Mus musculus: one gene and its partners. The protein of the gene in region 2 purifies or fractionates together with the protein of the main gene of each other region. This does not show direct contact. Links are inferred from orthologs where the notes say so. Each region holds a gene or a part of one and is shown on either strand. Other genes may lie near its edges.

The links. Proteins that work in one complex are often made in the same cells at the same time.
Region 1: the proteins of Ehmt2 (region 2) and Zfp644 purify together in Homo sapiens (affinity purification with mass spectrometry; 3 studies listed by BioGRID and IntAct, with this or other methods). This does not show direct contact. The link is inferred for Mus musculus from reciprocal best matches to the Homo sapiens genes EHMT2 and ZNF644.
Region 3: the proteins of Ehmt2 (region 2) and Mier1 purify together in Homo sapiens (co-immunoprecipitation; 3 studies listed by BioGRID and IntAct, with this or other methods). This does not show direct contact. The link is inferred for Mus musculus from reciprocal best matches to the Homo sapiens genes EHMT2 and MIER1.

The regions. Positions count from the first base shown.
Region 1 is NC_000071.6:106,615,166-106,622,733, forward strand, and holds the end of Zfp644 (zinc finger protein 644), read right to left. Parts: intron 4,478-7,568; coding exon 4,375-4,477; intron 3,264-4,374; coding exon 3,071-3,263; 3' UTR 1,576-3,070; downstream 1-1,575.
Region 2 is NC_000083.6:34,907,010-34,913,879, forward strand, and holds part of Ehmt2 (histone-lysine N-methyltransferase EHMT2), read left to right. Parts: coding exon 1-56; intron 57-321; coding exon 322-428; intron 429-512; coding exon 513-635; intron 636-733; coding exon 734-835; intron 836-1,164; coding exon 1,165-1,269; intron 1,270-1,394; coding exon 1,395-1,549; intron 1,550-1,628; coding exon 1,629-1,796; intron 1,797-3,681; coding exon 3,682-3,826; intron 3,827-3,968; coding exon 3,969-4,046; intron 4,047-4,353; coding exon 4,354-4,469; intron 4,470-4,569; coding exon 4,570-4,656; intron 4,657-5,379; coding exon 5,380-5,458; intron 5,459-5,624; coding exon 5,625-5,800; intron 5,801-6,630; coding exon 6,631-6,811; 3' UTR 6,812-6,870. UniProt on the Homo sapiens protein: Histone methyltransferase that specifically mono- and dimethylates 'Lys-9' of histone H3 (H3K9me1 and H3K9me2, respectively) in euchromatin.
Region 3 is NC_000070.6:103,158,487-103,166,054, forward strand, and holds the end of Mier1 (mesoderm induction early response protein 1), read left to right. Parts: intron 1-1,195; coding exon 1,196-1,335; intron 1,336-3,936; coding exon 3,937-4,265; 3' UTR 4,266-7,268; downstream 7,269-7,568. UniProt on the Homo sapiens protein: Transcriptional repressor regulating the expression of a number of genes including SP1 target genes. Probably functions through recruitment of HDAC1 a histone deacetylase involved in chromatin silencing.

The DNA.
Region 1 (7,568 bases), on a different chromosome or scaffold from region 2:
AATAAGACGCCCCCAGACCAATCTGATGGAAGCAACCCAAGTTCCCTTTTTACAATGTGTCAAGCTGGCAATCAAGAGAGGCAACACAGCACAAAAATTCAATAAAATCCACACAAACCATTTGGTATTCAAGAACATAGCAGTAAGAACAAACACATGCCCTGACCGATTTGATTCCACCACAGGTTTACACTGAGATTGGTGCAACACAGGAAAGTCAATAAATGTTAAATGCAATGTACAGACTTAAAGGCAGACAGCATACAACTGGAGAAATGGCCTTTCCTGAAAAATAAGCCAGGCGGAGAGGAATGTAACAATGGATGTCAACACAAGCCTATACCCAACATTATAAATACTGAAAACTCAGAGTGTTTCCTTTTTGAACCAGGAGCGAGGCAAATGTACCCATTCTAGTCTCTCTCACCCAATACAATGTTCAAAACTTGGCTAGAGCAACAGAACAAGATCAAGACATGGAGGAGTGTGTGGTGGCTCAGCAGAGACTGCTTGTACAAGGCACACAACCCACATCTGACCACTGAACCTGTGTGGTGCAAGGAGTAACTACAGCAAGCGTCTTCTGACTGCACACATGTGCTGTGCCCTCCTGACAAAAATAAGTGAAGAGATGGTTCCTAAAAAGTAAATAATGGAAGGAAAGGAGATACGGAGGAAAAGAGGGGAGGAGAGGTGGGGGTGGGGTGGGGAGACGAAGTCCAAGCATCCTGATTTGCAAAGGACACGACTCTACACTATGTGGGAAGATCTTGGGTTTAATTCTGAACTATGTGGCTATACTAATTCTTCCTGCATTCCTATACATTGATAGCTGTCATGATTAGGAAAAAAAAAAAAAGTCATAATTAAATCTAAGAGGCTCTAAAAATTCCAAGTCTTCCAACTAGGAATCCTGTCAATTTTTTTTCTAAACTTCTGAATTCTACTTGCTTTGTTTGCATATGGTTCAGTTTCAAAAACTATATTGAGCCAGGGATAGTGCACACTGGTGTAGTCAGTCTCAGAAGGGCTTGAAATGGAGGATTCTGAGTTCAAAGCCAGCCCAGGGAAATCAGTGAGACCCTCCCCAAACAAACAGAGCGCATACACATATGGAAATACACATATGGAAATACACATATGGAAATCCAATGGGACATCCTCAGTAAGAGGTGATCAATATCAACAAGGACGTGGCATATTCTCAGTTGAGAGTAACAAAACGTGATGTTTTAGTTACACCTCATAGTTTCAGACAAAAGCAAAGTTTCCTCCTGGCCTTTCAGGAGTTCAAAAGTCCTTCCATTATCTTATTCCTTAGGGGTCGCAGGACCCTTGGCTCAGATAAAATAAAACACAACCTCCTGATTTTACACACTAACTAGCACCTAATTAAGATGTTTATTAACCATAATGGGAAAATATTTCTTCACATGAAATATATTGATCAATGTAGTGTTTTTAGAGAACAAAAGTAACTTGGTAAATATAAACAACCTAACTAAATAAAACAACCTTATGGACTATTTCCCATGAAATAAAAAAAATAACAAATGTTTCACATTAGAGGCACTGTAATTCTTGAAGTCTTTTTATTTAGTGATTTCTGGCAAGGAGATATACCATAGGAAAGTAATTTCACTGGCAGTGAGGTATATATACATATACCTCTACCAAACACTCCTTTAACTGTTTTTAACTTTATTTACAAATTATGAAAAGTATCAATGCATATCCTTGGTTCAACTATATTAGCAACACCATGAAATGAAGCGGAATGGTGCTTGCATACAAACTGCTGTTTGTAAACGACGCTCATTCAGGATGAAAGGAACTAAGTTGTTTTTGGAAAGTGTTTAAAAGAATCATCACAGTTTATCATGACCAAGACACCTGCACCGTACTGTCCATTCCTCACAGCACATTTATTTCAGTAATTCTGTTAAGTCGGTTCTTAGCATGAGCATAGTGTTACACAATTTTCATACATAGAATCACATCCAAAAACAACTTCTAAAATTCAAATTGTAAACATTCTCATATGTAGAAATATTTTGTGTATCAATAGTTTTGCTAAATGATCAAATTTGGAATATAAATGAGAAAGCCTATTCTAAATTGTGTAGTGAGCCTTGTTTATTAATTACATTTCTACAATGTTAAATAAAGACAACCCTGTCCTGTAAGCATGTCAAACGTATGGAAAACGTTACAAAGAAACAAATCTGTTAACAAAAGTATGTCTTGCAATAAAGAACATTAGATTTTTAAAATCTATTATGATACAAATGGAAAGGGTAAATAGCATCTTTGTTGACAAAGCAGGAGGTAGCATGGACGCACCACTTCATTGTCTGAGAAATGCAACTGGATTAAAGAATATTTCCTTACCACAAATAATTTCCAGGACTATGTACAATATTTCTTTTAGAAATACTTGTTTAAACAAATCTCGCTCCAACTTTTTAGTATATATATATATATATGTATATATATATAAAAAAAAACCGTTCCATTATGATTTTAAAAAAACACTTAACACATCTAGATAGAATAGTACTCTGCCCTATTTGAGGGAACAGTCTCAAACTATGAAGTACATGATATTTAATGCCCTAAGTTGAGTAAATTTAGTTAGCAGTTCCTGGTATTATACAAAACACTAAATACATACCAACAAAATATAATTTCTTATTTTTCTATGTGTGGGGAAAAACCAGAGCCTTGATTCTGGTAACACTGTAGAGAACATAATCTTTCAGTAAGTCTGTCTGTAAGGATTCATGTGCAACACTTTACAAATGGCTCTCAGATGTAGGACCTTTAGTTGAGTAAACTCAGCCAACAAAACTTAGTAAACCTTAAGAACACATCTCCACCCTATATAAAATATATGACTACTTACTGTCTTGTCTGAAGTATTGTTTGCTCCGATGCCACTCTAATTTACGGTCCCTCATTCTTCCTACTTTAGTATTTATAATGGATACTTTCATGTGGCTTACAAAAAAAAGACACAAATTTTAAATTTACATCCAATTAAATTTGCTATTGAAAAGGATTCCTGGTTCTATGATGCTGCTTCTGCCATTAGTAAAGAAAACGACGTTTCTGTGATAGAGGCAGGCTTTTTAAGTAGTGATGTGACTTCCACCATGCCAGCTCCAGTCCGTGGAAGATTAGCGTTTACAATGTGACGCTGTAAGTGCTTAATCCAGTCTTCCTGAACAGACAATGGTCCCCGAAAGACTAGGCCACAAAACCTATGAGGGAAGTAGATAATAATAGTTTTCTTAACTAAACGAACTCTATTTAAAACTAACTTATATATAAAGCCCACAATGTAAGAAATAAATCTCACCATATACCACATGGAACACACCTAAATTTAAATCAATGGTTCTCAACCTGTGGGTCGCAACCCCCTTGTAGTTCAAATGACCCTTTCACATGAGTCACCAAAGACCATCCTTCATATCAGATATTTACGTCACAATTCATAACAGTGGCAAAATTACAGTTATGAAGTAGCAACAATAGTTTATAAGCTGGGGTCACTACAACAAAGGGGACTCTATTAAAGGGTCTCAGCATAAGGAAGGGTGAGAACTACTGGTTTAAATTAACTTAAACCAATCAATTTACACCCTTATTAATAGACTTAGGAAATGTCAATATTTTTAATAGACTGGAAATTATTTAAGATTAATAAGCTTCTAAAAAATGTACGTGTATAATGGGTATTTTGCCTGCCTGTATTGTCTGTGCACCAAATGTGCATGCCTGTGTCCTTATAGGCCAGAAAAGGATGTAGGATCCCAAGACTGGAGTTACAGATACTGCGAGGCATTATGTGGGTGATGGAGGTCAAGCATGGGTTCTCTCAAAGAGCAGCCAGGGCTCTCAGCTACTGAGCCACCTTTCCTGCCCCAGTCAATACTTTTAGACCATCTAAATTCATTCACAAGAGTTATTCCAAAGTGTATCTCTTGAAAGACCCTTTTCTAATTCAGAAGTACATGATGTCTGTGTTTCTATCTGTAAAGTGCATGAAGGAAAAGAAAACGTGTAAATATGTTCTCAGTAAGCAGGAACAGTAGAAATAAACCAAACCAAATTAACCACGTATATAAAGCACAACAACCAATACACCACTTCTACCAACTGCAGTATAATACAGCAGTTGGCTAATGTACAGACATAATTTTATCAGTTGTTGAAGCAAACATATGAGTATAAGTTATGATTCTAAGCTGAAAAAAATCATTTATCACTTTATTGTTGAGCAAGCCACAAAATAAAAATGCCAACTACTGTGTCTCAAAGGACACCTGGAAAAGGGACCGTAGCACACAAAGCAACCGAGGCATATACCTGCATCGGAGAATGTAAACCTCGTCAGCACCATGAGGCAACGTTAGCATTTTCTTCTTGCTTCCAGATCTTGACCTTGATTTCTTCTGCTTACAATCTATGGCTAAAAAGGGAAGAGAAAAACTTAATTTCTCATATATTTAAAACACACCTACATAACAGAGAGGTCACAACAGCTCAACTACACCAGGAAAGTCTCTGTTCAGCTCTGTTTTCAGGGTATGCACTAACTCTTAGTGGCTTCTAGAGCAGATTCTCCTGGAGTCGCTTTCTCCAAATACAACACTCAGGTACAACTGAGAAAATATGACTAAAGAACTGGGAGCTCAGTCAATAATTACAATACAGAGAATCTTTAACTTCTGAGCATACATAATTCTAAACGTCTTATTTCTAGGAAAATCACAACTTTTAATGTTACTTAATTAAATATGCACTTGATTATTATTCTATTAAGTAACCCTAGCAAACTGGGCAATGGAATATCAACAATGTAATAATACAAAGCTCAACGAAGAAACAATTTCCACTGAAATTCAAGACCAACATAGCTCAGTTTTCCTTTGTAAACAACCTGTTACATGTACAATCATGCAAACGTGTGAGCTGTATAAGTAACTATAAATTTGTATTATCTGAGTTCACAGCTGGATCCAGTGTTTGATGCCAACTATTCTTTTCATTTTTTCACACTATATTTTCTCCAGTGGTTTGCTTTTAAAATGTGATTTAAACAAAAAGCTTTTTTTAAGGGTAGACCAAATATTTTAGTGTTGGTTTTGACATTTTTCCCATTACTTTTCCCTTAATTATTTATTCCAGTCTGTGAGTCACTGAAAGAAAACACTTTATCGTTGAACTAGTGGGTAGGACACTGCTCTGCAGTCCTTGGATCCTCTGGACAAAGGGATGGCAGTGACTGCAGATGCTGCTTGTCAAGGAGCAGGGAGAAGAAAGAGCGCATCCCTAGGGCTGCGAGTGAAGGATCCAAATGTAACACCAGAATCCTTCAAATGGCTTCTCTCATCCATGGAATCCCCTGAAACAATTCCAAGTAAGAGAAGAGGGATGGGCCGCTCAATGGACCTGCCATGTGGGCTGTTCCAAGTCCAGATTCCAAAAGAACAGGTGCTGCCATTACAGAACCAGAGACCACAGTTCCTCACAGCAGACAAGTGGGAAGGTAACAGAAATGCACGCAGCAAACTACAAACTGTAGTGAATGGAAGAGCACAGTCCCGACGGCCAGCTTCTTGTCACCTGTTTATTTCAAAGTAAAAACTAAGACTCACTGGGTTTTGCTTTTTTCCTATTAATCATTAAAACAAGAGACTAACAGTAAGGTATTGAAGAATAACTAATTCAAAGATAAATAACCCAGCTCTGGAAAATTCTAATGTTGTCATTAGTTATGTCAGTCAAGAGCCTGGTACATAGCAGAGACTCAACAAATGCTTCTGGAGCAAAAATAAAAAAATAAATAAATAGACAAATCAAGTAAAACCTAATAATTTATCCATTAGCATTTTGATGGAGTGCAACTGGAACTCTCTGCTACCAAAATGCAATATGGGCAACACCCCTTCCTACCATGGCCATCATGTGCGTAAATGCACTGTTGGAACCACAAGTTCTGCGTTATCTTGGCTATGTATCACAGAACAGTCTAACTTACAGCAACCAGGTTCCTCATCACACCTAATATGGACGACCAAACACCATACACTTCTTTTCCACAGTGGCTGCAGTGGGCAATTTAGAATTGGAATGACTTTTAAGTGATTCATACTCTGGAAAGAGTTCAGAGAAATACTAGAGATCAGTTACTCCCTCCACCTCTGAGGTAAATCCACAGAATGTCTGCCTCTATGATGTAGGACACAGCAAGGGTAGGTGTTAGATCACAGATACAATCTTTCTTTGGAGAGCTGGAGAGCTTATGGGTTGTTAAACTTGCCACATTACAAAAAAAAAATCCTTGCAGAATGTAAGTAAATTACTGTGGATACAAACAGAATGCACTGGCAACCTTACAAACGAGCTTCACATAATGCCACTGTCAGCAAATGGGGAGAGGAATAGTAAGAAGAGGTCAATGATGTGTCTTATGCTACCAAACTCAGTTGAAGAGACATGCTGTGATGTCTGAAACATGCACCTGGACAGCCTGCACTTATAAAGAGTATTTACATGAATGAGCAAGAACAGTATTTTCTGAATTTTGATGCTGTACGACTCTACAAGCTGTTTATGAATGATCACATCTAAAACTATAAATAAAGCCATCAAAATTCCAGTGTTAGCATTTGAAGGTGTCATGACACCAGAAAATAGGGCAACTGTTATAATGTAGCTGATAAACTCTGCTAACTAGGTTTCCAAGTCATGTTGCACAAGTTCTTAGAAATTCACCCCTTTCCTAAGATTAAAATATTTCAAATCTCAGACTCCTGGGAATAAAACTTGAATGTCTAAGTGTCTACGTCTTCATTATTTTAAAATCCCTTGGTTCCGGAAACATTGTTTTGTAGGTGAAATGAGTACGTTGAACAAGAAGGTTAATTACTAGCATCCAGCCCACCTCTGCAATGCTGTCCCTACATTTAGAAAAAACAGGTAAAAAACCTGAGTAACACACATGGCATGCAAGGAAGACATTCATATGGCACCTGCTGCATCAGAGACAACTGCCATAAAGCGTTCCCTTGAATGCAAAGAATAGTGTACCAACATGTCTGTCACAGCAGCATTCTAGATCAACCAATGTTCAGCATTCTAACTGCATGCTTGTGTTGGATGAGGGTTGGTTTCTCGCTCTGTAACTATGCCACTGCTGTGGGGCACAAGCAGGCCCAGGAGTGAGTCAGGCCCTCACACGCCACTTAGAATGCAGAACAAGTGCAGTGAACCAGGGACCCAAAGGACTTGGTTAAAAATCGGAAGACTTCACCCACTACTGCAAAACTACTGGCCGAGAGTGAATTGAGCTGCAGAGTCATATACAAAGGCTTTACAATCTTTTAGTAAAGCAGCTGTGTTTTACTAAACATGGAAGAACCTCAAAAGACCCCACACAGTGTTGTGCTAAGCACTAACCAGGTGACAAGCATGCCATTAGATGACACAACACACCCAGAGTCAAGTCTCTTCTGAAGAACTACTTCATTTTATATACAAGAAACACAGGTTACTTT
Region 2 (6,870 bases):
GCAGCTGTACCTGTCGGTGAAGCAGGGGGAGCTGCAGAAGGTGATCCTTATGCTGTGTGAGTGTCTGACCCCACCCCGAGGGCTGTGCGTGAAAGGGAAGGACCCTCGGTGGCGGCAGCAGTGGTAACCTGTTGGTAATGGGCACTGATCCAGTGCACAACTTATAAGCTTTCCCGGCCTGGAGGCTGAGTGTTCCTCTAGTGCGGGGCAGTACTGAGGGGCTGGCACGGCTTGCCTAGTGGGGAATCCTGGGAAGTCTCTCTTGGTACAGGGCTGTCCCACCCCCAGCTCTCTTACCTCTTGTCTCATCTCTGCCTGCAGTAGACAACCTGGACCCCAACTTCCAGAGCGACCAGCAGAGCAAGCGCACGCCCCTGCACGCGGCCGCCCAGAAGGGGTCGGTAGAGATCTGTCATGTGCTGCTGCAGGTCAGTCCTCATGACCCTTCCCACTGTCCAACCCCTCCCCAGCATCCCCTCTCCCTGGTGCCAGCCTTCACACTGTCCTCACAGGCAGGAGCCAACATCAATGCCGTAGATAAGCAACAACGCACGCCACTAATGGAGGCCGTGGTGAACAACCACCTGGAGGTGGCACGCTACATGGTGCAGTTAGGTGGCTGTGTCTACAGCAAGGTGCGGGATGGCGCTGGAGAGCTGGGTGGTGGGAGGAAGAAGGGATACCTGGGCACGGGGTGCTAGCTGAAGGGTTCACTGGCTCGTGTTTCCCTCAGGAAGAGGATGGCTCCACCTGTCTACATCATGCAGCCAAAATTGGGAACTTGGAAATGGTCAGCCTGCTACTGAGCACAGGACAGGTGGACGTCAATGCCCAGGTTAGCAACCTGGCTGCCCCTCCTGTACACAGATTCTTTGGCTATCTGTCCCTTGGGCATCAGTCCCGCTTCTTCCTCAGCTGACCTGACCCTCCCCCACTACCTCCCACTGCCCACGTTGATTCCCTCATTTTTTTGGTTCATGGAACTCGACTCCCATCTCTTATCTCTGAGTGCGTCCAGTGAGGTTCCCTGTGAGCATTGGGGGGCGGGGGTGCATCTGTGGATACCCATTCTCTGGCTGTGGTTGTTTCCAGAGGTGCCCCTGAGCTCCTATTTTCTGGCCAGCAAGTCTGGGCCCTCATTCCCTTCCTCCTTCCTTCCCTCAGGACAGTGGGGGCTGGACGCCCATCATCTGGGCAGCCGAGCACAAGCACATCGATGTGATTCGTATGCTGCTGACCCGGGGTGCCGATGTCACCCTGACTGACAATGTGAGGGACACTCAAGGGGGCTCAGAGAACTTGGGGTGGGTAGCAGCGGGACCCCTATGCAGAGTGGGGGCTCAGTTCAAGGATTGTGTCACCTGCAACCAAGTCTCTGCCTCTCACCTCCACAGGAGGAAAACATCTGCCTGCACTGGGCCTCCTTCACGGGTAGTGCCGCCATCGCTGAGGTCCTTCTGAATGCCCAGTGTGATCTCCATGCTGTCAACTACCATGGGGACACGCCCCTGCACATAGCCGCCAGGGAGAGCTACCATGACTGTGTTCTGTAAGCCCTAGCTTCCCCAACCCCTGGCACCCACACCCCACTGTCCAATCTCTGACCTAGGCCTTATGTTCCTCTTCAGGTTGTTCCTGTCTCGTGGAGCCAACCCTGAGCTTCGGAACAAAGAAGGAGACACGGCATGGGATCTGACCCCAGAGCGCTCTGATGTGTGGTTTGCACTGCAGCTCAATCGAAAGCTTAGGCTTGGGGTAGGGAACCGGGCTGTCCGCACCGAGAAGATCATCTGCCGGTGAGTGCAGTCCAGACATCCATGCCCACTGCCACGGCCCACGTTGGCCAGTCCCAGGCCCCTTCCCAGGCACAGGACATCCCGAGAATTGCTAGAATCATCTTGCCACTAGGGGAGGTGGAAATAAGGGACTCAGCCAGTGAGACCCTCAGTGGACAAGGGAGCCTGTGGCCAAGCCTAACAGAGGTCAGTCCCTGGACTCACATGGAGAAAGTCAACTCCTCCAAATTGTCCTCTGGCTTACAAACACACCTCATGACACTCTCACACACAGTTGAAAAAAGCTGAGGGCAGGGTGTGGTGACCCACACCTGTAATCTCAGCATGAAGGAGGCAGACAGCTGATTGTTTTGAACTTGAGGCCAGCCTGCTTTGTATCTATGTAATAAGTTCCAGGCCAACAAGGGCCACATAATGAGACCTTAATCTTTAAACAAAAGAAAGAGGAGACGGGCATTGGTGGTGCACACCTTTAATCCCAGCACTTGGGACGCAGGGGCAGGTGGATTTCTGAGTTTGAGGACCCCTGGTCTACAAAGTGAGTTCCAGGACAGCCAGGGCTGCACAGAGAAACCCTGTCTCAGAAAACAAACAAAAAAGGACAAGAGAACAAAAAGGACATGTTTTCCAAGCCTTCGAGGTGGTGGAGGCTGGAGGATTTCAAGTTTGAGGCAGACACCCAGATAGATAAGAATTTCAGAGAGGAGCTAGGTGTTACTTGTGATCCCTTCTATTCTGAAGGCCAAGGAGGAAGACTACCTCTTGAGCCTGCATATTGGAGGCTCAATGAGACTCAAAACTTAAAAAAGGAAAAACAAACAAAACAAAAACAACCACAAAGCTAGTGTGAGGCGGCCCAACTGCTGAAAGTGCGTGTGGAGTTTAAGCCATGAACCCACCAGAAGGAGAGAGCTGCCTCCCGAGGACTGCCCTCTGAGCTTTCCATCTCATTGTATCCTGTGCACACCACACTCAGACATGAGGCTGCTCGGGCCAGGCGGAGAGTGGTGTAGACCTTTAATCTCGCTCTGGAGGCAGAGGCAGAGGCAGAGGCAGGCTGATTTCTGGGTTCCAGGGCTGTACAGTGAGATGCTGTCTCAAAGAAGGAGGTGGGTTGCCGGGCGTGGTGGTGCACTCCTTTAATCCCAGCACTCAGGAGGCAGATGCAGGGGGATTTCTGAGTTTGAGGCCAGCCTGGTCTACAAAGTGAGTTCCAGGACAGCCAGGGCTATACAGAGAAACCCTGTCTCAAAAAAACCAACCACAAAAACCAACAAAACAAAAAGATATGTAAGTTTGTAATCCAGATGTGTTCTGTGCAAGCTGAGTACTTTGGTGTTTGTCTGTCCTTATAGCATCTGAGGAGGCAGAGGCGGGAAAATCATAACTTCACGTTTAAGGCCAGCTGGGGCATTGTAGCAAGACTCAGTCTCCAGCTAAAATTTAAAAGTCCAGAGTCCATTGGGGTGGTGACATATGCCTCTGACCCTAGCACTCGGGAGCCAGGGCAGGAGAATAGACTGTCGAAGTCATTCTCTGCTATCTTTCAGTCTGGGGCCAGCCGGGGCTATAGGATGCTGTATCTCACCAAGGAATGAGAAAAGGTCGGGGCTGGGAACATCGGTCAGTGGGCGAGCATTTATTGGCCTAGTATGCACCGTGCTGTTGGGCTCAGTCTGCATTCTCACCAAGAAACAGAAATAACCCAGTCACTACTTGGGACATAACTATTTCTTAGCCGAGATTGTTCTCCGTGGTGTCTTTGTTTGTTTTCAAGAACGTCTCCCTGCATGTGCTGAGATAAAAGTGCCAGCACCCTTAGATCAAGGAATCCTCCCCTCAGAACTACTCTGCCCCACTTTGACCTTATCTGCCCCTTCTGTAGGGACGTAGCCCGAGGCTATGAGAATGTACCCATCCCCTGTGTCAATGGTGTGGATGGGGAGCCGTGCCCGGAGGACTACAAGTACATCTCTGAGAACTGCGAGACATCGACCATGAACATCGACCGCAACATCACCCATCTGCAGGTAAGGCACAGCCCCGCTCACCATGCTGTGGGAGCACCTCCACACCAGGATGGGGGGCATGAAGACTCCCCCTCACACTGGGACCACCACCACTCACTGTCCTGGAACATGAACCCCACTCACTCCTACTTTTCTCCCACAGCACTGCACGTGTGTGGATGACTGCTCCAGCTCCAATTGCCTATGTGGTCAGCTCAGTATCCGATGCTGGTATGACAAGGTACGTGACCCTCACCTGGCAGGTCTGCCAAGGAGCCAGGACCCTGCTGTGTTGGGGAAGAGACACAGGGTGTGGCAGGAAGCCCTGCCAGGAATGCAATGGGCCTCTCTGCTGGAGTATATGCAAATGCGCGCTCTAGTGCCTGCGCGCACACTTCCTGGTCTCTGACCTCAGCCTGCAGACTCTGCACCTTGCTCTTCTGCTCTTGGCTGGGGTCAGAGTGGAGTTTCCTGTGGAGTCCTCTGGGTCCAGGGCAGCTGAAATGGGCCCCACAGAGAAACCACTATCCCCTCCCTCCGCACCCCAGGACGGGCGGCTGCTCCAGGAGTTTAACAAGATCGAGCCCCCCCTGATCTTTGAGTGTAACCAGGCATGCTCCTGCTGGAGAAGCTGCAAGAACCGCGTGGTGCAGAGCGGCATCAAGTGAGGCGCGCGCCCCGGCACCCTGCCTCGCCTCCGCCTCCCCTCCCCTGGGGCCCTCCCAGGTGTCCCACACTCAGTGTGACTCCCTCTCCACCTCTAGGGTACGGCTGCAGCTCTACCGGACTGCCAAGATGGGCTGGGGGGTCCGAGCCTTGCAGACCATCCCCCAGGGCACGTTCATCTGCGAGTAAGTTCACTGTGAGGCCGTGGTGCATGAGGGCTCTGCTGACCCTAGAGCTCCATGTCAGGATACATGTCTCTGCTCGCCCACCGAGTGTATTTCCAAACATCATGTCCCCCCTTTACCTGCACGCTGCCTAGATGGAGCATGCCTGTGGCAGACAGATCTGTAAAGTGGAGAATAGCTTTTTCCTGTGCACTTCCTCCCCTCTGCCGTCAGACTCACCTAGGTTCTCTGTGGCCTTTAGAGCAGAGAAGCCCCTTCACCTGCTCCGAGGACCTCCCAGTTTCTCTGTTCCCTCAACTTCTCAGACACCCACTTCTCTTGGGCAATTCCTCTTCCAGCCACATGGGGCGACCTCATGACTGATGTAGCTGCGCAGAGCCTACCACCTGTTTGATAGTTCCTGGTGCACACACCTCCTAATGTCTAAGCCTGGCAACTTTCCACCCAGCCAGCCACCAGGGATGCTAATCCCCAGAACACAGGCTCACACACACACACACACACACACACACACACACACACGTCATCTCCCACCATGCCTGCTCAGGTCTTGCAGGCTCCACCTGTACAGAGCCTCCCACCTGCCTGTCTACAGCTGCACAGCGACCCCTAGTGGCTGGACCATGTCCTGCATCTCTCCCCTGGGCTCTGAGAACTGAGTGGGAAGGTGGGGCCGGGAGCCCTGCTCACTGTTCATGCAGAACTGAAGTTTCCGTCCAACAGGTATGTAGGAGAGCTGATCTCTGATGCCGAGGCTGATGTGAGAGAGGATGATTCTTACCTCTTCGATTTAGATAACAAGGTGGGATGCAGCACCTCTGCCCTCAACTACCAAAGGCTGCTTTGTGCAGCCACCTGTAACATCTGGGACTGGAAGCCTGGGTGGAGGGACTGGGTGTCACTGCAGGAACACTAGCCAGGCAAGTGGATAGAAGTGGATATTAAGAACACTGTGTCTCCACCCCCAGGATGGCGAGGTTTACTGCATTGATGCCCGTTACTATGGCAACATCAGCCGATTCATTAACCACCTGTGTGACCCCAACATCATCCCTGTCCGGGTTTTCATGCTGCACCAAGATCTACGGTTCCCACGCATTGCCTTCTTCAGCTCCAGGGACATCCGGACTGGGGAGGAGCTGGGGTGAGGAGCCAGCCTGAGGGCACTGACCAGCCTTTGGTGTTCTTTTTTTTTTTTTTTTTTTTTTCCCGGTTTTTCGGGACAGGGTTTCTCTGTGTAGTCCTGGCTGTCCTGGAACTCACTCTGTAGACCAGGCTGGCCTCGAACTCAGAAATCTGCCTGCCTCTGCCTCCCAAGTGCTGGGATTAAAGGTGTGTGCTACCATACCCGGCTTCCTTTGGTGTTCTTAGGTGTCCCTTGGAAGGCTTGTTAAAACTGTGTAAGGCAGGAGTAGGAACATACATTCATGATCACAGCACTCAGGAGGCTGAGGCAGGAGGATCACAAAGAGTCTGGGCTACAGAGTGAGACCCTGTGTCAAAACAAAACAAGAGAAGTCCAGGTTGCCCTGGTATCACATGCCTGTCATGCTAGTGTTTGAAAGAGCTTGAAGCAGAAGTACCTACAAATTCAAGGCCAGCCTGGGCTAACTACAGAGTTCAGGACAGCCAGGCCTATGTAGAGAGACCCTATCTTAAGCAAAAAACAAGAAGGGGGATGGGGGCTAGTGTGGGTTGGCTGGATGGTTGAGTATACTAGGCCCTGGGCAGGCTGCATCCCACTTCCCGCAGAGCCTCGGGAGAGTCTGGTCACAAGGCAGGAAGGCTAGAAGCCTGCATTTATGACAGTTCTCTGGGAGTGTGAGTCAACAGAGCCAACAAGGACCTGGAGTCCATCTGCAGGAGTGGTTGGGTGGAAGAAGGTGGATCCCTCAAGAGGGCTCCTGGGCTCTATGAGATGGGTTTGAAGTGTCTAGATCCAAGGGCCAAGAGCTCCTGTGTTTCCTCTGCCAGCTTTGACTACGGTGACCGATTCTGGGACATCAAGAGCAAGTATTTCACCTGCCAGTGTGGCTCTGAGAAGTGCAAGCATTCAGCGGAGGCCATCGCCCTGGAGCAGAGCCGCCTGGCCCGGCTGGACCCCCACCCGGAGCTGCTCCCTGACCTCAGCTCCCTGCCCCCCATCAACACCTGAGGACTCTTAAAATCCAGGCCGGGCACTGCCCTTCAGACATTTCTCCATCAGAGACCCCA
Region 3 (7,568 bases), on a different chromosome or scaffold from region 2:
ATTTTGATGTCTTTTTATCTAGCTTCCTTTGGAATTTTTTTTTTAAACTCTCCAGTATTCACTCCCATAGGCTTTGTTTTCAGTAATTCTGTCTAGTGTTTTTTTTTTTCTTCTTTTTTTTTTTCTTTTGTTTCTGAAGTTCCTGTGATAGACATCTTACCTGTTTCTCTTTCTGTGTGCTTCAGATTGACTCTGCAGTTGTTTTTTTAATGACAATGTAGAGCAATGTAGTGCTGGAAGATCCTAAATGCCATTACATTTATAACGTCAAGACTGTTATGTTAGTTTCTGGTCATAATATGTTTCTGTGGTACATGTTTGGCTTGTGTATGCACACGTGTATGTGTATTGAGACCAGATGGCAACTTTTGGTGTTACTTTTCAGGAACTGCCCACAAAGTTTTTTTAGACGGGGTCTTCCCTTGGTACCCAAGGCTTGCTGCCATGACTGGCTGGCTTGCCTAGTGAGCCGCAAGGATCCAGCATGTCTGCCGCCCAGTCTTGGGGGTAACAAATGTATGACCATGTTTCAGTTGGACTGTACAGAAGTGGCAGCCAGCCCACAAGCCATAGTCTGCCACTTTCATGTTCAGTACAATAACCTTGTGTGTAGATAGGAAACATGGGTTTATCTGCATTTTATTTTTTAAAAATCACTACCTTCAGACAGGATTTTTTCACCCCAGCATAGTATGATCCTCAACTAATGTGATTGTAATAAAAGTTATAAATCAGCCCAGGACTGGGCCCATCGCAGTGAGATCACGCTGATCTGTGTAGTGGCTAGGCAGGGATGGCTCCTCTGGGTTGGGCCCAGTTGCACTGGGGATCTGAAAACCCAGTCTACTTCTGTTCAGAAATCACTTTGTACTCCCAGTGCCCTCATCCTTACCTCTGTACTTATACACACTCCAGCTTCAGTCCCACCATTTTGAGCCGTTTTCTGCACATCTTAAAGTCTTGAAACTTGCTGTGGACTTGATGTTTTCGTTAGCTTCGAACCTTCATACATAGCACTATAAATGTGTAGTTGACAGGAAGTGTTCACATCCAGGTACAGTTGTGAGGCATTGACTTGAATGTAAGTGGCAGTCAGGATGGATTTGTGAACAGGGGTGTGCAAATTTAACTTCAACTAATTTTAATGTTCAGCATTGTCTTTAAGGGAATAATAGTCATATTATTTAACTTGAAGGGATTACATGGATCGTCTTTTGGATGAAAGTGAAAGTGCTGCTTCTAGCCGAGCACCATCCCCCCCTCCCACTGCCTCAAATAGCAGTAACAGCCAGTCCGAGAAAGAAGATGGCGCTGTCAGCAGTAGGAATCAGAACGGTAAGCCGCTTGGAGATGCACCCAGTTCTACACTGTAAAGGACACTTGGAATGGCTCAAAGAATGCACTGTAAACTAACTAATAAGAAACAACACACATCCCATGACACTATGGAGTCATTGGAAAGAGTTCTTAGTGGCATCTCAAAATGAAATGTATGACCCAAGCTACACAGGGAAATTCTCGTTAAGTAGCATCTCTTCTCTGATCCCAGCTGAGTGGGATAATGCCTAGGCTTGAGCCCTCTGTTTTCATCAGAAACATGTTTCTTTCTCCATTAGTTTGAGAAATTGTTACATGTACTTTAATCTAATGACTCAAAGTGTAGGTAATAACTAATTTTTGAATGTTTGACTTTGCATCGTAACCTGAACAGTGAACAGATGTAAAGCAGCTAGCTATCAGCCTGGGCATGGGTGTTCTGCAGAAACGTTTATTCTCTTTCTCACATGCACATATGTCACACACCACACATACACTCACATCACACACATATGCATACCACACACCACACAGCACACACATACACAAACCAAGACAGTGTTCTTCAGAGTATGTGAAGGTCCATCTATAAGAGCTGTTCTCAGAATTGTTTTGATTTCTACTTTAACTGTCCCAAGTAAGAATATTATTGAGCAGAAAATAGCGAGCCTGATTGCGCAGCATCTTCATAAGGAGGAAACTGGAGTTAAGAACCGAAATGGGAGAGCCATGGAGAAGATGGACGAAAACTGGCAAAGCTTTGACCCCACACTCACTGTGGTGGCGTATTCATTACATAGTGCACTCCATGCTCCTTTCCTGTGTACTTCTCTCTGTACAACCAACCAGACAGCAGATCTCTCTGACAGACACATGAAACTCCCAAAAATTCCCCTCCCAAGAAAAAGAACAAGCTGGACACACAGAATGTGGGTCTCAGTGCCATGCAGGTCTGACACTGCTTGTTAGACTGCTGTCCTGCTGTCAGCTGTGCCTTTGTGAATAACAATGTAAGATGCAGTGCGGCTGGAACTCAGAACTGGTGTAGATGCTCAGGGAGTTCAGATTCTTGGTTCTTTTGCTTTAACATCTTAACACCAAGAAAATCCTTTCCTCTTTTAGCTGTTTGATAGAGAAAACACTGTTAGAGTAAGATAATTTTCATAAATGACTGAAAAAATGCTATTTAGCTCAGAAGAGATCAGGTAAATATAATCCAAATTTTCAGGTTTTTCAAAAAAAGAGTAGAACTTCTTAGCTTAATTTTTTTATATACTCAATTTTTTTAGCTTTATTTCCTTTTCAGTTAATGCACCAAAATAGTATTATAGTTCTTTGTCCTTAATCAGTTTAATGTAGTTTTTTAGACTAGCTAGCACAGAATTATTTCTTTAGTGTTACATGATGCATAGTTCCTATGTGCATTCAAGAGTTGGATACAGCCGGGCGTGGTGGCGCACGCCTTTAATCCCAGCACTTGGGAGGCAGAGGCTGGTGGATTTCTGAGTTCGAGGACAGCCAGGGCTACACAGAGAAACCCTGTCTCAAAATAAAATAAAATAAAATAAAATAAAAGACAGAAGAAAAAAAAAAGAGTTGGATACATATTAAGCTGAGAATAATTGAGTATTTTCTTTGACCAAAATATAATCTTTGAGAATTATTCTTTATGTTGAATATTTGTTACATAATTTAGATTTAAATATCTTGGGCTGGAGAGATGGCTCAGTGATTAACAGCACTAGTTGCTCTTCCAGAGGTCCTCAGTTCAATTCCCCAGAAACCACATGGTAGCTTACAACCTAATAATGGGATCTGACATTCTCTTCTGTCATGCAGACATATATACAAATAGAGTGCTCATATGAATGAATGGTTTGAGTATCTCTAGTGCCGTAGTCAGCTCTAATATGATCTTTCTGCTACTTTATTTAATTAGAATAATTTTACTTTTTTTACCTATTGTAGATGGTTAAGGTTCTTGATGCATACGATCCAGAATGGCTTCAGCCTCAGATCCCACCTCCTGTAGGAACAATGTCAGTATATTCTTACATAGTAGTGCTTGTGTGTATGGTGTGTATGGGTGCTGTGTGTGTGTGTATGTGTGTGTGTAAGGAGGAGGGGGGGGAAGGAGAGAGACACTGTGTGACCTGAGAAGGCTGGGAGAAGGTGTTAGATCTCCTGAGATTAGAGTTATAGGTGGTTGTGAGCCACCATTTGAGTTACATACAGGTGCTTGTAAACCTCCCTATGGATTCTCGAAACTGAACCCAGGTCTTCCTCTAGGAACGTTAAGTGTTCTTAGCCACTGAGCCATTGCTCCAGCCTCTTAGTACACTTTTAATATATGCCAGGGTAAAATCCATTGTTTTAGTTGATCATCAGCTGTGTAACATGCACTTGGTTTGGGTCTCCTGGTGTGTAAGGAAGCTGCAGTGCAGCCGATGGAGACCTTGCTATGTCTGCTGGTAAGCCATGGCCACGCCACAAGTGAGTGCACTCAGATTGGTGCTTTCCTTGTTCCTTGTTGGAAGTGTGTATTGTAGCAGATATTTCAGAAGAGTTGACAAGTTTAGCTTTTTGTATTAAGTTTCATTTATCTCTCTCCAAATGTAGGTGTCTCATCTAATGGACCAGGAGAAATACTAAACAAAGAAGAAGTAAAAGTTGAAGGGTTACATGTTAATGGACCAACAGGTGGAAATAAGAAACCACTTCTTACAGATATGGACACTAATGGTTATGAAGCAAATAACCTGACCACTGACCCAAAACTTGCCCATATGACTGCAAGAAATGAAAATGATTTTGATGAAAAAAATGAGAGACCTGCCAAAAGGCGGCGGATAAACAGCAGTGGGAAAGAAAGTCCGGGCTCATCTGAGTTTTTCCAGGAAGCAGTCTCACATGGGAAGTTTGAGGAACATGAAAACACGAATGACTAACTCTTAGGCCTGTTTCACTTTCTTTGCAGTAAAGTCTGGTTTGACTACAATTTTCAGGGTTGGGGGGTGACCTTTAGAAAGCTGATTTCCTTAAAGCAGTTGGTTAACTCTTGAAATTTGAATTAAGTCCTAACTTTTAAGAAATGGGATTCATAATTCTACCTTTTACAAGTTCTTTTACTTCAAATTTTTGAAGCCCTCTTTAAGGATATAAAAACATTGGTAAATTTGAATGACCCAAAGACTTAACTGCACCTTCTCCTTTGAAAACCAAATCATATATTTGATTAAAAGGTAATCTTTCCTTATTCTTTATGAGGAAGAAAAGAGTTTGTGTTTCTGCTCAACATCAAATTTTTTATTATCTGGAAATGTCTTTACAACAGACATTTTTCTCTCCATACAAATTGAACATCGTTACTAAGGAAACCCTCATGAATCCTGAAGGTTATGCTAGCATGATTTTTATATGTAGAAGTTTAAAAATAAACCAAGTCAGGTTTGTATTTGTAAAATTGTTGACATCAATGATGTCTTTCCATATTCTTATCTGGGCTTAAGAAATACATTCTGTATTTTTCCAGATTCTTTGTAGCCTTTGAAAGATTTTTACAGTACATATGTCTTGACTGAGCTGTCTTTTCTTAATACAAAAAGCTTGTATAATTTTCTTAACTTGTACAGTTGGTAAACTTTTATGAGAGGAACTGATATTCTGAGTCTGTCAGCTTTCATTTTATTTTGCTAAGATTTTTCTAATGACTTTTTAAGTGTGTGTGTAGTTAACCAAGTCATGTTTCTTATCCAGGTGGTAAAAGCATTCATAAAGAATTATGAACATGCGTTATTTTCAAACTTCTACTTACTGACAAATAATTTGGGATGTCTAAATTTCAGCATGATACTCAGATTACAAGCTTGTTTGCATTTGCTATAATTTTATAAATTAATTTTGAAACAAAACAAAAACTTACCGTCAGCTTAAGTGCGTAGATGTATCATGCTGAATAGAATCCTGTTCAGTTGCTCTCATGTGCCCTATAAGATTTCTCATCGTTTCCATTAAGTCAACAGAAGGGGAAGACCAGGTGATGTTGCAATATTGCCACATCCAAGGAGTAACTGTTGACAGGTAGCAATATTCATTTTTATGAGAAAATAATGGTTTTAAGAATTTTCAGATTTTTCCAGTTGTAATCCAGTTTGTCAGATTTGATAGTTTTTCCAAAATGAAACACATACAAAATAATCATTGTTCTGTGTGATTTTTAAAAAGGGTTATCTGCACTAGCCTTGTATGGATGGGTGCCATTTTATTTTTAGTGCAAAATTCTTCTTAAAAAATGTAGTTTTTTACAGCTGATAGACCAATCTATCTCCAGACTGTTTTTTAGCGAATGATTATTAGCTATGTTTTCTCACACAGGCACATCCCCAAATGCTGCTTTCAGTTTGATCTCAGCCATCAGTTCAAGAGCCAATGCTCTCAAAGGCAGATCTGTGCTCCTTTCACAGGCTCAGTTGTCTGATGCAGGTTGGGTAAAGGTTCGCACTGAGAATGATCGCCCAGGCCTCTCCCTCAGAGTATTCTTAGATTTGTCCAGACTGCTTCCTTTCCCTCGACCAGTATTGGAAGGCACTTTGACAGTACATCACATAATATGCATTTATTGTTTTTGCAGAAATATCCCAGTAAGTCAGTTTCAGATGGAAGTGCTAAGAAGCATGAGAGGATTTTGTTTGTTTGTTTGTTTTATTGAAAACCATTAATTTATCCAGAATGGCAGTAGGTCAAGTAGCTTTAGCAGATGGATCATAGCCTCTGTTTCCCTGCCCACCCCCACCCATTTCTATTATCTCTCTTTTTTCTGTGTTTTTTTTTTTTTTTTTTAAAAACAACAAAAACAAAACAGAGTCTCACTGTGTAGCCCAGGCTGGCCTGGAACTTAACAATCCTTCTACCTCAGCCCTCTAATGCTGAGATTGAAGGTGTTTCCCACCACACCCAGCAACAATCTATTCTCTAAAGCAGGTTTTATTAAATGAGTTCAAACCATTCTAACTCTTTGTCACAGATGGTCTCTAGGAATGTTTTTTTAAAAAACAGTGATGCTTTTTAATCATTACACTATTGGAGGTGTCAGCCCACCTTTTAAAGGCTACAACTGCTGGGCAAGTTCCTAGAGTTCTTGAAACTGTTGTTACAGGAACTTTTTAAGGAATTTCTCAGGCATGTTGGGAAATGTGCCAGGTGTATATGTGTTCATATATCTTACTTTTCTTTTTAAAGTATGCATAATGAAACATTTCTCTAATACACGATGCTCAGCTTTTCCAAACTACATTGTTCTGTGTTTGTACAGGTATTTCACCCTTTGTTCAAAACTGCAGCCACTGAAACTTAAGTCATTGCACTTTTAAACAACTTGGCAATATCATGAGTAATTTGTTAAAGGTTTAGTATATTTCATAACTCTTGAGCACTTAAGTAATTGAGATGAGAAAATAAGCCTTCAGGAGTAGGGATGTAGCTCAGTAGTTTGACTGTTTTGCCCAACGTGCATATGAAGCCTGGGTTCCATGCCCAGTACCACATAAACTGGGTGTGGTGGCACATGCCTGTCATCCTAAGCACTTGGGAGGTGGAGGCAGGAGGATCAGAAGTTCAAGGCCGTCCTCACCTACATAGTGAGTTGGAGGCAAGCCTGAGATACCTGAGATGCTGCCTCAAACAGAAATGTCTCTGTTGGTAGTTAGCATTGTCATTTTCCTTTGAAACACAATGTTTATGATGTATTCTCAGTAAGGTTCAGAATCTGTAACTCAGCTCAACGCGGATCTGTTGAGCTTTAAAATGTATTTGAAGTAATTTAAGTAGGCATTCAAAATTATAAATTAGATGTTTTTAAATTTCTGCATAATAATTTGCACTGTAAAATATGTCCTTCCTCCCATTTCCTTCTGCCATTCTGATATGCTCATTAAAATATTTTTGTAAACATACTTGTGTGGTGTCTAGTTATTTCACTGTTTTAATTTCAGTGTTTAAACTCTGTGCTGCTCGGAACACACAGTGAAGGTTGTACTATCCCTGTGCCTCCATGCCCACGAACAGTGCAATCAACGGTTTTTCTGTGGTCTTGGTTTTAGTTACCTGACATTGGATTGTTTTCTGTCTGTCTTTTTTAATATGGGGGGAGGTGTTGGAGTTTGTGTTTTGTTGGTTTGGTCTCTTATGTAGTTCTGAGTGAACTGGAGCTTACTACATAGACTCAAGAGATCTGTCTCCCAAATGCTGGGATG